Drosophila melanogaster: one gene and its partners. The protein of the gene in region 3 interacts with the protein of the main gene of each other region in a pairwise test. Each region holds a gene or a part of one and is shown on either strand. Other genes may lie near its edges.

Region 1 (5,397 bases), on a different chromosome or scaffold from region 3:
AACATGACACATCTCATTATGAGGACTCCCAAAAGAACTCAACCGCAGAATCCCTCGCCTTCTCGCAGTTCGTGTGCTGCTGTCAGAGCATTTTGTTTATGATTTTGTAGCTGTCATAAAGTTATTAAAAGTATGTGACATTTTTATGACATTATGACGTCTTGACTCAAGGTTTCTCCTCTTTTGCCAACCGAAAAATCTGTTTTGGGATTTTTCGGAGGAGCGGAGCCGGCAAATAAGAGGATACCGGCTTTTGTTTTCAACGCTCCAGAGTTCTGCGAGTGGGACCAAACCGATTTGATCCGTCCGGCTGTCTTGAAATATGATATCAAATAAAAAGCAAATTAAAGACGATAAAAATCGTGTCTCGGCTCACGCTGAGTTATATATATAAAAAAAAAGCGCTTATTTTTTGCGCCTCTTGCAAATGCGGTGCGAGGTACACCACAAATCCGAAATCCCTTCGAAATCAAGTATCGTTTAAGTTTCGCTTTGGTTCTGGTTTTGGTTTTGGTTTCGTTTTCGGTTGCCTGTTGTTCATCTTGTTATTTGGTGGCTCATAAAACTTGTAAACATCCGACTGATTGTGCCCCTGTCTGGTTTTTTCCTTTATTTTCTGGTTATACGTTTTCGGTTTTTGTGAGTTCGTGTGGGTGCTGGCCCTCGGTTCGAATTGGTAAGATATTTCCAGATGATATTACACTTTTGATTGGCCTCGGTAATGGGGCACTGAGGGCGTGAGAGATCAAAGAGCGATAAGCGATTTAATTGCCCATATGTCCAAACTTATTGCCTTCGAAGAAGACCAACAAAAGCTATAATGAAAGGTTTAGATATGCCCAATGGAAGATGGTTAAAGGAATGGGCCTAAAGTTGAATAAACAAAAGATATGGCAGAGGTGAATGGTCCGAAGATGCGTACCGTAAGTTTTAAATAAAATCCTCTTTAAAGTTACTAAATAACGTTTAATTGTTTGGTGCACAAATCCACACAGTCAAGTATTTGATTTAACAAATAATAACTCCTAGTTGCCTTAGATATACCATACAATTCCAATGAGTGGCAGACTCAACGAGGATTTCGCTTGGAGTTGCGTAGATCATAGCGTCGGCTTTTTGGCGGTTCAGGAGGGTTCCTGTACTGCAAATTTTTGTAAACATAATCCTCGTCATCCTCGTCGAAGTAATCCTCTTCCTCGTCGTCGTCGTCATCATCCAGGTCATCGTATTGCGAATCCTGCACCTTGGTTTCGGTCGTTTCTTCTATGACTTGCTCCTCGAAATCAGTTCCTTCTTCAAGAGTATAGGAGATATTTTCGTCACTAGGCTTTAACTTAACGTTCTTTGGGTTTCTAGACTTAAAACCTTCATACACTTCGTCTGGCTTGAAATCTTCGCATTCGCTGGAACTGGAATGTACGGGTTTAGCTTGGCGTTTCGTGGGTTTGGCTTTGGTTTTGGCTCTTGGTTTGGGCTTTGCTTTAAACCTGGTGCTGGTCTGTGGAAGTTCCTCCTCTTCGTTAAGATTAGAACCGCCGCACAATTCCTGCATAGCCTGCTCCAAGTCCGAGTCCTCCACTACCTTGCGACCTGTAGATTTCATCTTCGCCGCCGCTGAGGTGGATGGCATGAAGTCCAAGTCGAGGTCCGATGAAATCGGTGGCAGGGCATCGTCTTCATCATCCGAGTAATTCATGCCGATTGGCAGATTCTGCTGGAAACCAATGGACTTATTGGTGGCATCCATAACTATTTCCTTGTAGCCGGTGATTTTGCTACCATAGCGCGGCAGATATTCGGAGAAGAACTCGTTGACTTTGAATAGCTCGACCTGGCCATAATAACCGGCATAATCGGGAGCTTGGCCAATTCCGATATTAATCACAGATTCGTGCGGCTTTACGAATTTCTCAAAGGAAACTTTACTGGGCGCTAAGTCTACGGGGGCGTTATTGATAGACGAACGCCCCCTCTTCACATTCAGTTGCGTCATAATGTTCTTGTTGAACATATCGTGATTGTTGCGATCCTTAAGGACACCCAGATCGGCTTGATATCCTAGCAGAGTTTGGAAATGACATCGAGCCACTTGCAGAGCAGAACGGGATGTGTAGGGAGTGGAGCAGAGATCTCCTCGCCGTACCATCCTGGAAATATGGGCATAGTTCGGGAGGTGCAGAGGTGGTCGTCGCGGCTCCGCCGTTCCCGGGCTTGAAATTTCAGGTATTTTCTCACATTCCTGAGCCAGTTTATGCAATTTGAGTAACTGACCCTTAACGAAATTTGGATTCCGATAGATCAGCGTGATGTTGGTGGCTGAGGATTTACGCACATCCTTCAATGAAACGCGTTCGAATCCGTGGGCCAATAGAGTGCCCGTAAATTGCAATGTATTTCGACAATGAAACATGGAACACCCGCTGGACAAATGCTCCTGCATACCCTGGTAATCGACCTCCAGTTCGCGGCCATTTGCCGACCACTTGAGGTAGTGAATGGAGCTATTATCGGTGGCCAGGAACAGTTTCACGACGAATGCATAATGGAGTAGAGGATGGCTTTTTGGCGTTTCCGGGATATGGATACCCAATTGTCGGTAAATCCGCCTGTGATTCTCCGCTGCCTTCTTATTGATGTCGGAAACAGGTTTAACTGCCAGATCGAGGGGCTCCTTCTGCAAAGGATTTCTTTCGAAATCTTCCAGCGGATCCTCGGAGTCCACAAAATCCAGAAACTCGGGGCTATCCGCTGGCGTCCTGGACTCCTGCTGTTCCAACTCATTTGTCCAACTTGTTGCTGCGTCTTCTTCATATTCATCACCACTTTCATTGACCTGCTGTGACTGGCCCAAAGTGTCTTGGTTCCCCGACATTATCCTTTTGTATTTACAAACTTCGATGACTTTTTAGTTCTCAAACAAATATTCGGGCAAACGAGCAAGCCGGAAAAATATGAGGACTGACAAACGAAATGTTGGCCCACTTTAAGGGTTGCCCTGCTGTTGTTTTCCATTCGGAAAAAGTGTTGCTAAGTTTTTCTGTTATCCTTTACAGTTTCTATCGATGATTTTTAAGAAAACACACTCTCATCGGTGTACTTTAAGCAGTCACACTTAATGTTCAAAACTTCTTTTTTTTACATGTTAAATAAGCCTTGCATTCCACTATTATTATTCTGCTGCCAAAAATTCTTATTGATAAATTAAAGTTACACAATTTAGCTTTAGTGAAAGAGTAGACAGGCGAAAACCAAACAAAGCTCCTTTCATTTTATTTGAATGCACTTCATGTTTTGTTTGCAATAAATCTATTGTTATTTATAACCCCAAAACCCCCAGTTTTAACCCTCCCATTTGTTTCCAAGGGCGGCAAAGTTCAAAAAGGAAAGTAAGGGAAGCCTTTCAATTGGGGATTCATGGGCTATATCAACAATAATGCAGACCAAAGCCGAGACAACAAAAAGCCGCCAACACTGGCACTCAACTGGTCTATAACCAGTCAATGAGAAAGAGAGGGTGACACTGTGCCGAAAGAGATAGCTTTAAATTGACATTCATATGAATATTTAATACACATCCTTTAATCACGAATCATCCATGGCGAACACCCCCCCAATTATTCTGACTGATGCACGATATTTGGATGAACAAACTGCTGAGTTTTTGGCACAGGCGAAAAAAATCGGACTGACAAGAATTTTATGCAATAATCTCACGTGTCACCAGGAGTAAATTAAAAAAATGTCGTCAGCTGCTTGAATCTATTGAATATTATAATACCCTGCTCTTTATAGCTTCTTTAGTTATTGGTAAATTACTGATGTGAATAGTTCGTCTAGTGAATATAATTATGCATTTCATTGCTCAATTTCTTTGGCGAATATTTCCGCCAATTTTATTGTTCTTTTATTACACTAGTTGTAATGTTTACAGTCCGAATTTGATGACAAAGTTGTAATTTCCGAGCGAAAATCATAGGGCAGCCCATGAAAAGCTGCATAACAAGAACAACGGCTGTATATGACGAATAAATTTACAAGTCCAGTTGGAAAAAAATAGTATACCAGCACGCACGTGATTTTGACAATGAAACCCCTTTCAATTTTTTCATTGCTTCCTATTTTTTGTTGCTCTTTCTTTTGGCGGAACGAAAAAGTTTCTTTTGTTGTACATTTTTTACGATCTGATTTAGTCGTGTGACGGAAGCCCTATATGAATTCATAAAAAGCACTACATAAGTTTCGGTTTCAGTTTAATTTTACGGGTAGAGAGCTAGAGGTCTTTATTTACTCCTTATCTGGGGACAACTATTGTTCAACTATATATGGAGATCTCCCATCTCGTTCGTCTAAAAAATATTTTATAAAATGTTGAAAACGTTATAAAACATAAAAGTAGGAATGCCGCCGCCGTAGTGTTGTTTTGTTTTTGTTTAATGCGTGTCAAGTGGTCGTAGATTATGCATTTTTATGGTTTATGGGGCGCTACTCCATCGGTTTTCCTTTTAGACTATTGTTTTCCAAGCAATTAAAGATGAAGACGACTGAGCACGACCTTCTAGCCCCGAATTTTTCCAGCTGTTTTCCGCCCTTTCGCTATCTGAATTGCATTTTTACGATCCCGATTCCAGTTTCGATTATATTTCCTTATTCTAGAGTGAGTCACTGCAGCAAGTGATACGCTCTATAAGATTCTCGTGGTTTAGTGACTCATGTGAAGACAATGGAGCTCCAATCCATCAATCATTTCACTTGCCAGAAGGCAAACCTTGGGGTCTCATTGAACTTATTTCTCTCTGCTCTTCGCTTTCTTCGCCTTGAGGTTAAGCTAATTAAAATAAATGAATATATTTCATAATTTTACGAACTGCATATTAAGGGCCAAAGTTTGGTGGACTTTGACAATTAGCGGCTAAAATATCACTTTGCCATATAGCATGCAGAAAAATCATTTTTCAAAACACAATGCATATTAATGATCGTATCGTTTTCTTGAGAAATGCCACAATTAAACATATTGAAAGAGTTTACAATTTAGTTCATTAAGCAAGGGATTTCTTGGAATATGGGATTTTGAAATGTGCAGGCAATGCTCATAAAATCTTATACTCTTAAAAATTGTATATATTTATTATATTAATAAATTTAAATTGTATATAATTTCCTAGAACACAACCAGTTCGAATGCAAATGTATTTTCACAATGTATCTGACGACCTTATCTACAATCTCGCACCCATGTAGACTGTGACTAATTGAATGCCCATTTCTCCCGCTTTTGCTTTTGCTCTAAAAAATCCATTCCCGTTAAGACTGGAAGGCAATTCCCGGTTTTGGTAATTTGATATTTTCGATGTCCACAAATTTTTCACTAAATATGTTTAAACTCATTTCCCCTTT
Region 2 (5,759 bases), on a different chromosome or scaffold from region 3:
TTTATTTACAAAATTTTTCTGCTTTTCATTGCGGGTTGTTCAACATTTCCCACAGGTTCAAATGTTGTTTCACTTTGATGTGGGTAGCAGTCGCATATATTTATAATTATTATTGGCATTTCCAAGGGTCGAATTCGACCCTTTTTTGTGGCCTTATGATAGCGGTCGAAAGCACGCTCCTTGTCAAATGATTTTTCATAAAGAAAAATAACCGAATAAAAACCGAAAATTGATTCAACTGTCGCTTTCGCGCTTTCAATTAATGCGACAAATGTGTGAGTATATGGCATAAATATAAAGAAGCTTTGTTCCTTTTTGCAAGTCTGCTTTTTGTTTTTGTTGGCCAATACGTGACTTTACCCAGAAAGTCATTGACTTTCACAGACTCCCCCGAGTGGCTTTGTTATGTCCGCTCTAAAATCGTGCTTTAAAGACCGAACTCTCGAATCAATTAATGCGCTCCATGGCCATGAAAGTGGCGAGTGGCGATAAGCCAGCTCCAACCCATGTGGCCCCCCAACTGGGAGCTGGCGATACAAACTGCTTCAATTTTAATGTCCTCAAACTGTCATAAACTGTAAATGCACAGTAAAAGCCATGAGTATAAGGCGGGCAAGCTGCGACAGATTCTGTCGTGTAGATGGCCAAGAAGCTAAAGCTGTCAGCTCAAGAGTTTAAGTTCGACAAGCTGGTGAAACTATTGTATCTTACACTGAAGTCCGATTTTCACTTAAATATTATATGTACTTCGTTTATTTAAACCTAATATAAAAGTGGGAAATTAATTGCCCCACTAAGTGTTAATCCTTTTCATACTAACGCTGTATACCTTTTGACACCTTCATGGTTGACTTCTGATTCACATACGCCCATTTAAAACACCCCTCACTCTTTGAACTCGATTTTTTAGGTTCACTGAGCAAACCTTTTTTTTTAACACGCTTGCGTGTGCCGTTCAACATTTAGCCAGTTTTTTGGGCCAGTGCAAAGACGACCCGCAGGCTGAAAGCCAACATTCGCTATACAGGGTACAATATAGCCGCATGAGAATACCCATTCATATGTATATGTATGTATGTATGAATGAAGTCGTGCACATGAGTAACCCGTTGGCACGACCTATCATCGCCCATTCCGCTGGCTAAGGCCTCCTGGCTGGGCGATGGGCGGTGGGTGGTAGGTGGGCGTGGCACGTGTCGCCTGCAGCTTTCATTAGTTCAATGTCAATGTTTTGTTTTGTGATCCTGGAACACAAAAACTGAAGAACATGGGAACCATCCAGCTGTCTGCCTTGGGTTTTTAATTTTAAGCGCATGTTGCTGGCCTCCAGCCAGCCACCTGCATCACCTTTGCCTGTCTGCTGATTAAGTGAGTACAAGCTGCAGGTGTCCTGCATTAGGACATCCCGCTGCTCCTTCGAGGCGAAAGGAATGCAAATTAAAACTGGTATCTCTTCCTTCTGTCACCGATTCTGCGGAAGCTCTGTGTGCACAGCAAATTGAATGAGGTGCACAGACGGCAATCGATATCTCGATGGAGGAAGTAATCTTTAAGTTCCTTTAAGTCTGAATATCTGGATATCCAATTTCCTTTTTCCCAGAAAACGACCGCAACACATGTCGAAAGTTTGCGGGCACAAACCATTGGCATACACTGAGGTGTATTTATAATTTAATTTAATTTAATTTAGAATTCCGTTTTATATAATTAAATATGGAATTTGGATGTTAAAACAAGTGTGTGTTTCAGCGTTTCTAACTAAATACTCTCGGAATTTCATTAGCAATTCTCTTGTCTTTGTACCCTTTTTTTTTGCAGTGCACAGGCGTACTTACCACATCACAGACATGGAAATTAGGCCAAAAGTGCGCAGGCAATAATGCTGAAATCCATTTACGTAATTCGAAATCCGCTGGCGGCGTTTTAGCCACGACAACAGTCGTATGCAAACTTTATTAATTACGCGCCCCGATGACCATTACCACCATATCGACCATCTACTATTGACCATGAAGCCATTCTTGCAGTCCGGCGAAACTTTGGCTGTTTACTATTTTGCTAGGCTGAGTTTCGGCCACCCATTGTTGTGTTGCGCAATTGGCACCAGCTATGAAAATCACGCAAAAGTTTTTCAAATTAAAAATTCAACAGATTTCACTCGGAAAATCAACAACCCTGGAAAGCGGCATATAACAAAAAACAAAATCAATGAATTAAAAAAAAAAAATTACATAATTCGATTGAGCCTGCTGTTCATAAAAAATATTGATACTGTTTATTAAAATCCATGTAAGACTTTAGTTGTTTTAATTTAATTTATCAGAACTGTTACTTTAATAATGACTTTAGTTAGTACCTTAGAAAATATGGCAACCCTTGACAGAATTGAAATATGTTGGCAACCCAAGTTTGGAGGCCATATGTCAAATGGCGTGAGACTTTTAACAAAAAAAACATTTGGTTCAGAAAAACTTCGCTTAAATTACTAAAGAAAAACTTAGTAGACCATTTCAGCATGTCAGTTGATCCACTATCAATCGATAATTTCACAATCCAATCTGAGATCTGCGAAGAAAACGAGTTTCTGGCAAATATAGGATTACTATCTACGACAACGTAATATTTTCTCCTTTTCTATCAAATATTAAAATAGAACTATAACTGTGCTACCATCCGTAGAATGTCGCGTCATCAATTGAAGAAACCCAGAAAGATGGTGGCGGCATGGCAAAACGATGAATTATTTATTAAACGCCCAAATTTCGCCCCGCGTATTAGGATTTCCGAAAAGCCAGAGATCCAGGGAAGAATTAAACCAGGCGTGGCGTCCAAAAGGACTGAGAACTTTACAAAGAAGCCGTCCAATATATCTGTAGATGTTTCGGAGGACGAGAAAGCGAAGGAAAAGGAAAAGGAGCAGGATCCCTACTCCAATGACTTTATACTTGGCAAGAGGTTCGTAATGGGAAAGATTCCCTAGAGATCCCTTTAAGTGCTTAATTGTTCATTCTCCTTTAGATTGTACAATTTCCTGAAGTATCTCAGCTCTCACCGTTGGATTTGGTGTGAGTTCGTCGACTCCTTCCTGGACAAGCCGACCCTGACCATGGGCTACGATATGAAGCGCTTCATAGCGGAGTACTGTCCGCTCCTGCACTCTTGCTTCATGCCCCGCAGAGGATGGCAATTGGTACGTCGGAATATGGGGAAGGCGCGTCGATTTTCGGCCGCCTTCATCGAGCTGGAACGCGAAGAATTGGAGTGCCAGCGCCGCATTGTGCGCCAGTTGCAGCAGCATAAGTTCAATCCCAAGGAGAACGTGGGCTACTTGGACCAGATACCCAAGCGTGTGCCCCTGCCACTGGCCAAGGATGCCACGGTCAGCAGTTTTCTGCACGGAAACTCCTTTGAGGGCATCGTCAATGGCACTGTCATGGGCTACGATCCGCAGGACTACACCTATCTGGTTCGATTCAATAGAAACGACAATGCAGTCGTGCTCAGTCTTCCGGATTCACAGCTCTATTCCGACGAGGAAACCGCGGCGGTTCCCTTGTCAATTATTATGCGCGGCAACAAATCGTCCTCGGTTATTTCGGAGAGCGCCAAGACCGAGAAGTTCGGAAACAAGAGGTACACCAAGGAACTTCTGGAATCAGTGCTAAGGGTTGGTAAACTACAGGATGTCAAGCACAAGATCCTCATGGACTTGGCCCGAATGAATGAGGATTTCGAGACATTCAAGGAGATTGGTTCTTCAAGTAGTCGTCGCGATGCCAAGGTCACACCTCAGCGTGAGAATCTCCAGCGTCGCTATTCGGCCAGCATGATAACGCTGCACCGAGTGAACGCTGATATCCTTGAACCGCTGCGCATCCTGCACGACTACCTGGTCGAGTATCAGAAGCAGGACGAGGAGGAGGAGTCCAAAAGAGGTCGTCCCGCCAGCGAAGTCTATCAGAAGTGTCGCATGCAGGCGGAACAGGACCTCAAGACTGCCGCGGATGAGAAATTCCTGAAGATAGAATCGGATCGCACGCAGGAGTTCGTCCGCAACCTTCACACCATACTGTATCTCAATGGAAAGCTGGGGCGCGAGAACAGCTCCAATTTGGAGACGATTATCGCTGATCTGGTTACCCACATGGTGGACAACATCCAGCCATCGCTGGGCCGGAAATTAAAAGATGGCGTCGATTCCCTGGAGCCTCTGCGTCAGCAGGTGGTGCAAATATTTAAAGACGTCAAAAAACCAGAGCGCTTCCAAATCACCCAGCAGGCTCCGATGCAAACCGAGGATGGTATCTACAACTTTGTGGTCGAGGCACAGCCGGATACTCCCAGCTAAACACACTACCTACTGGCCCTTTGGAATACTGAAATAAAGCCTCGCTCTTATTTATGGCTCAATTAGGAGGAGTGTCATGTGCATTGGGAGTTTGCCGGCAGAGGAGCTTAACGAAGTTTCTTGTGGCTGCTACCTTGTAGAGCTCTTTTGGTACTTACGCGAAGGGGTAGTTGGGGGGGGGGGGTACGTGGTTCTAGGATTTATTTCAAGTTTCCAGTGGCACGTTCCACAGGAAGTCAGCCGTAAAACAGTTGACAGATTGGCAACCAAATAAGTAATGCGTATGTGAACGAAAACTTTAAGGGGGCACTCAAAAAAGGATAATCACTGGGGAATGTTTGCTTTTTCTAAAGGGCCTGTAAATGTGTTACAACTTTGATGATAGAAAGTGTAGTTTATTAAATACTTAAAAATGATTAAGAAAAACTCTTACTATAACTCTCTAAGTACTAATAAACCCTGCAAAAAGGAGGTATGGAAATTTTCTCTTTTTTTGAGGCTAAATTTTGTGCAGCAATGTTGCATCCCCACATAAATCAGCATTTACGAGTAAAGTGTTTTCTATTTTTTAATTACTAGATGGATGCACTACGCTCGTAAATTGTGCGGGTGAGCCAGTTCCGCCGGGGAATTTGCCAACGCCCATGTGGCCGCCATAAAGACATCATTAATATGCCTCCGGATGCACTGCGTCGCTCTGTCCCCCGGGAGGAGAAACGATCGGCAAAGGAGCTGATGGCGTGTGTCCTGCGGGAATGGACTCTGGCCATTTTGCTCCCCCGGATGTGTCGTCGTCATCGACTAAGATGTGCGTATCCTCCACGGAATCCACCCGAGCGGGCGGCTCGTAAATATTTATAATACGTTGAAGCTGCAGGGGCGGCGAATCCGGCTATAAATTTATCGAGTGCAACATTTTTTCCACTATATGTTACAACTGTGGTAAAGACTCTGGTTGAGGATGCATTCAAAATTAAATGTTTTATTCGTATTCCTGATTAGAATGACCAGTCAAGTCAATGTGATAGTAATTTTTTTTCGCAGTGCCTTGCAGTACTTGTGCTCACAAGAATATGGCTGTAATGAAATATATATTTAGGCATTAACTTGATTAATGTATTTATTTTGAACGTTTCAATAGCCTCGCAAACTTGAAGAACACTTGAAGAACAAAAAAATCGACAGACGTGGTAGTTTGACATCAAGGATCCCCCAGCCAGGATAAACAAACGTAACAAATGGCAGCAAATAAATGTGGGCAGGCCAAGTTTATACGGTCAAGTATCCGCGTGGACCAACTCGTGTTGTGAAAGTTGTGAATGTTGGTTGGCTACTCGTGCTAAATGTAATTCAATACACCGCCTTACATAATGCATTCGAGATGACTAAAGTTTTTTTTATTCCGTTGACA
Region 3 (4,389 bases):
GTGAGTAAAGTTGTTTTATACATACTTCAAGTAGATATGCTAAGATATATATACTTCTTGTAGAAAAGACCAGAGACCAAGCATTCATCAACAATCCCGACGCCCTGATTGTGGTTCAGGATATGCTCTTCATCATGCGCCGCATTTGCTATTGCACCAAGGGAATGGGTAAAGAGAAGAACTCTCGTGGCGAGGGCGACAATATCGATGAAGGTGAAGATGCGTCATCGGAGCCAGCAACTCCACCAACTAGACCAGAAGCAGGCGAGGCAACAAGCAGAGGAAGAGGGCGAAAGGCGGACATGTCCGAGGAGCCAGTATGTAAATCTAACTGATTAACTTTTCCCCCTTGAGCTAAATGTTCAAATTCCTTTGCAGCTCAAGCAACTGGAACGCTGTCTTCGCTTTGTGGAAGAAACCCATCGCAACATAGTGCCCGTCATGAGTCCCGAGCTTAGTCACAACTTTGAATCCTTTTGCCGAGCGATGGCCATGAGATTCCCCAACTACATTGAGTTCGCCCAGCCCGCGCAATTTTGGCGGCAGTTTCGATCATCGGCGAAAGCTCCCAGAGCGAGCAGAAGCAAGCGACGACGTATGGAGGAGGGCGAAGTCGAGTCCCATGAGGAGCACGAGTCGGAGAGCGACAGTGACAGTGAGCTGCCGCTGGACAGGCACAAGACCACGCCGACTGCCTCCCGTTTGTCCCAAAGGAAAACCAGCTGCGATATGCTTGTCACCGAGCTGATTTTCCAGCCACCCGATTGGTAGTTTCAATTTTTGCGACCTTGCAAACTGAATTTCTCAATTATTTAGTTTTACACAAATCGAATATTGTATTATTTTGCATTATAAAATGTACATATGTATGTATCTATAAGCCAAAAATGGAATCAAGTTATTCTTGACCTTGAAACTATTTAATAAGCCATTTTGACGTTTTGAGTTAATAATAATCCTTGCTGTACTCGCATATTTTCTCCAAAATGTTCTTGTAGCCGCGCATAAACTCTTCGAGCACCAGCTGGCACACTTGGAGCTCGTTCAGGCCCAACTGTTCGGCTTCCGTGGCCTGGATGAGCATGCACTCCAGCAGAGCCGCGTTCACCGGCTGCACGAAGAGATTCCGATCCCTGCGATCGTCGTGCCGCACCGGAATGATCAGATTGACGGGCATCGGAGGTTCCGCCGGTTGCTTCACTGCCCTGGCTGGAGTGGCGGCAGTCGCTATGGGTCGTGAGATGGGTATGGGGTTAATGTGACTACTAGCCATCGGTGGTTTGCCAGCCACTAGGGTATACTTTGGCGGCGTCATTAGCGCCTTGCCGGGCAACGCCAAAGTGGATGCCGCCACCTGGAGCGCCTTGCCCTGGACATCGATGCCCGCCTTGGCAGCTGCGGCTGCTGCCTTGGCGCTCATCGCAGCCGCCTTCTGCCTTTTCACAGCGCTGGAATTCTTGGCCACGGAGTTGGGGTCCACCAACTCGCGCACCTCTGTGTTCCTGCAGCCTGCATTACAGGGTATATGAGTGCCGTAGGGTATATTTATGCTTATAGAAATGAAATCATACCAACGCATCGACAGAACTTGGTGCAGATGGCCATGGACTGATAGCAGTCGCAGTAGTTCTTGATGCACTGCGACCGCTTGCAGCAGCATCCCTTCACGCCGCCTGCTCCTTGACCCTTGCCCTTCTTGCCATCCGCTTTATCCACACTTCTTTTCTTGGGCGATGGCATGTTGCTGCCTTAATCTCTTCCAGAAACGAACTGATGACAGCTCCAACAAAAAAAATCAGTGTTGAAAGGATGGCAACCCTTATACATATAAAAATATATATGTATAAATAAAACAGCAATATTGTGGGCACTAAACTATTAAAGCTTAGATAAAGTATTTATATGTCGTACTGGTAATAAAGTTAAAATTTGTTAAGTACCAATCGTTTAACAAGTGTCTAGTTTATATCGTTATAACATAGATAATTTCCTTTGGTGTCTACATAATATGGCATGGCATTAAGTTATGATATTGTTCTCCTCTACTCGTTTAGTCTACGATAATTGAAAGCTATTTTATATTATAGATGTAATAAAAAGAGTTACATTATTAATTGATATCAATTGTAATTGCTTTCCTTTCATATATATTCTGTGTCGAGTGATTTGGCAGCGAAACCAACTCAAACCTCTTCTCAAAATTCTCTTTTTTTGATTGGCGTTTAGTACTTAAATTACTTATGTAATTGGAATGAAGTGCGTTGCATTTCCCGCCAAAAAACTCGACATTTGGGCGCGCGTTTTCAAAAATATCACTATCAAAACGATATATTTATGCAGTGTGTAAATGTGTGCAGCAGAAGACTTCTTAACAGTTGGAAAGTAATTGAGTGGCCTGCAATCGTTGCTATTGCTTCTAAAGTAACTAGGATTATCTCCGCTGCGCTCCTAACTAGTCCCACTTGGTGCGCTCCTAGCATATGGTTCCATTGAGCAGCTCGTAACAGTTGGGCGGCGATGCTGGCGAGGCTGCTGCCGCCGCCTCCTGTCGCGTCTTCAGAAAGTTGCCCACCCAATGGGCCGTGAGATCCAGATATTTCGTTCTCGAGCCCGGATTGTAGTCGAGGAAGCCGGCGCGTGGCATCACCTCCTCGATCTGGCTGCCATCCGGCCAGTTGTTGTAGCTGGCTATGTTGATGAAGCCCACGTGGTTGAGAATGGCTGTCCGCCAGGCCACGCCATAGTACTGCAAGATCAAATGATATTAGTATTAGTAGCCTGTTCTGGCACTCCAGTTGATGGCTGCTCCTTCACCCGTCCATTGCTGCGATGCCGCTGGATGTCTCCGTGTCGCGGAAACTTGTTCCTCTCCGCGAATCCCGGACCCACCGTGGGCACAAAGAGCATCTTGTAGGACAGCGCAAATGACTTCAGATACGACCAGTTCTTCCAAGTGCTGGCGAAGACAGCTCCATTGCTGGGCAGTTTGCTGTAGAAGCCATCGAAGCACAACCTCCGCAGGACATCGGCATGGCTTTTGAGCCTGGAGAGAAACGAAAGGATATATAGAATCACCTAGGATAATCTAAGGCGCACCCCACCTTATGTGTCCAATGAATAAGGCATCCAGAATTCTCCGCAGACCATCCGGTTCCACCAGCGAAGGCGATCGACACAACAGCCTTCCCAGACTATCACTCAACTTGTAGGCATTGCTCACGTAGAGAACCGGCAGGGAGACACCTCTCGACTGACTCCACACCTTGTAGAATCCAGCTAGGCTGGTGTATGTGGCAATCTCCTGCAGCTGCTGGCGCACAAACTCCACGCTCTGATTCCCGGCCACACTGAGCTCAAAGGTAACGCTAAGATTGTGCTGCGGTGCCAGTTCCAAGATCTGATGCAGCAGTGCCGCCTCCGCGGGCTTGCCACCGGAGAAGCTCAGGATGAGCACACCGATGCCACAGCTGCGTATGTTCTCGAAATGCTGGGCCAGCAGCGAGCCACTGGGCTTGTACAGACCCAGTGCCGGATAGAAGGCGGTGTTTAGGATTCGCACTGGTCGCGGCGTGGTCAGTGGCACATCGTTTGGGTGCTCCGCTGGCGGCGGAGGCGGCTTCTTCGACTTGTACCACGGCACCGGGGCAGTGTAGAATATGTGCACTGCACTGATCACCACATCCAAAGTGGTACGCGACTGAACAAAGTGTACATTTTTAAGATTTAAGGACTAAGATTGGCCACCTTCTTGGACTGAACTGGAAACTTACAGACTGCTCCGCCTCGTGGTCCCGCTGCTGCTGCTGCTTCATCAGATCGATTTTGCTCTGAATGATGCGCTCCTTGATCTTCTGCTCGTCATACTTCTCGGGCACAATCACTCCGTTCTCCCGCTGCGGCTGGAGCAGCGCGACGGCCACCGGCGGCGGCTTCTCCGCCACTTGGGGCTGATCCCCGGGCCTGTAGGCGCGTGCGATGAATCGCTCGTCCAGCAGCAGTTCGATGGCCGCATTGCGTCCGCTGGAGCCCAGCACTATGATGGTGATGACCAGCAGGGCGACGATGGCCAGCAGGAGTAGAATCTTCAGCTTACGCCGCGTTTTCACATACTTTTTTAGCAGCATTTTCGCAAGCGTGCATTTTCTCTCATTGTTTGGACGTCCTCGTTGTTTTTCGTCCCCAGTTTTTCGTACCTCCACCCCACAACCCCTTCTCTTCCTGTCGCAATGCAGCTGCCGGAAGTTCCTGGCCATTGCGCATGTCCTGAAACGGACACACTAAACTATGCCCAGCGAGTTCCCAATTACCATTTCACCATTAAAGCATATGCGAGTTTGTTATTTTTTTTGGACATTTTATTGTGAGTTGATTTATAATATTGTACACATT

The links. Proteins that work in one complex are often made in the same cells at the same time.
Region 1: the proteins of tomb (region 3) and comr interact in a two-hybrid assay, tested with the Drosophila melanogaster proteins (one study listed by BioGRID).
Region 2: the proteins of tomb (region 3) and aly interact in a two-hybrid assay, tested with the Drosophila melanogaster proteins (one study listed by BioGRID).

What each region holds. Positions count from the first base shown.
Region 1 is NT_033778.4:21,863,922-21,869,318, forward strand, and holds comr (cookie monster), read right to left. Parts: upstream 2,939-5,397; 5' UTR 2,873-2,938; coding exon 1,070-2,872; 3' UTR 949-1,069; downstream 1-948.
Region 2 is NT_037436.4:3,023,181-3,028,939, reverse strand, and holds aly (always early), read left to right. Parts: upstream 1-2,418; 5' UTR 2,419-2,515; coding exon 2,516-2,616; intron 2,617-2,679; coding exon 2,680-2,955; intron 2,956-3,018; coding exon 3,019-4,348; 3' UTR 4,349-4,811; downstream 4,812-5,759.
Region 3 is NT_033779.5:5,534,987-5,539,375, forward strand, and holds tomb (tombola), read right to left. Parts: upstream 1,773-4,389; 5' UTR 1,741-1,772; coding exon 1,572-1,740; intron 1,510-1,571; coding exon 947-1,509; 3' UTR 875-946; downstream 1-874. Other genes in the region: Cap-D3 (chromosome associated protein D3), read left to right, coding at 64-317, 379-771; CG14015 (uncharacterized protein), read right to left, coding at 2,474-2,746, 2,815-3,043, 3,102-3,697, 3,771-4,124.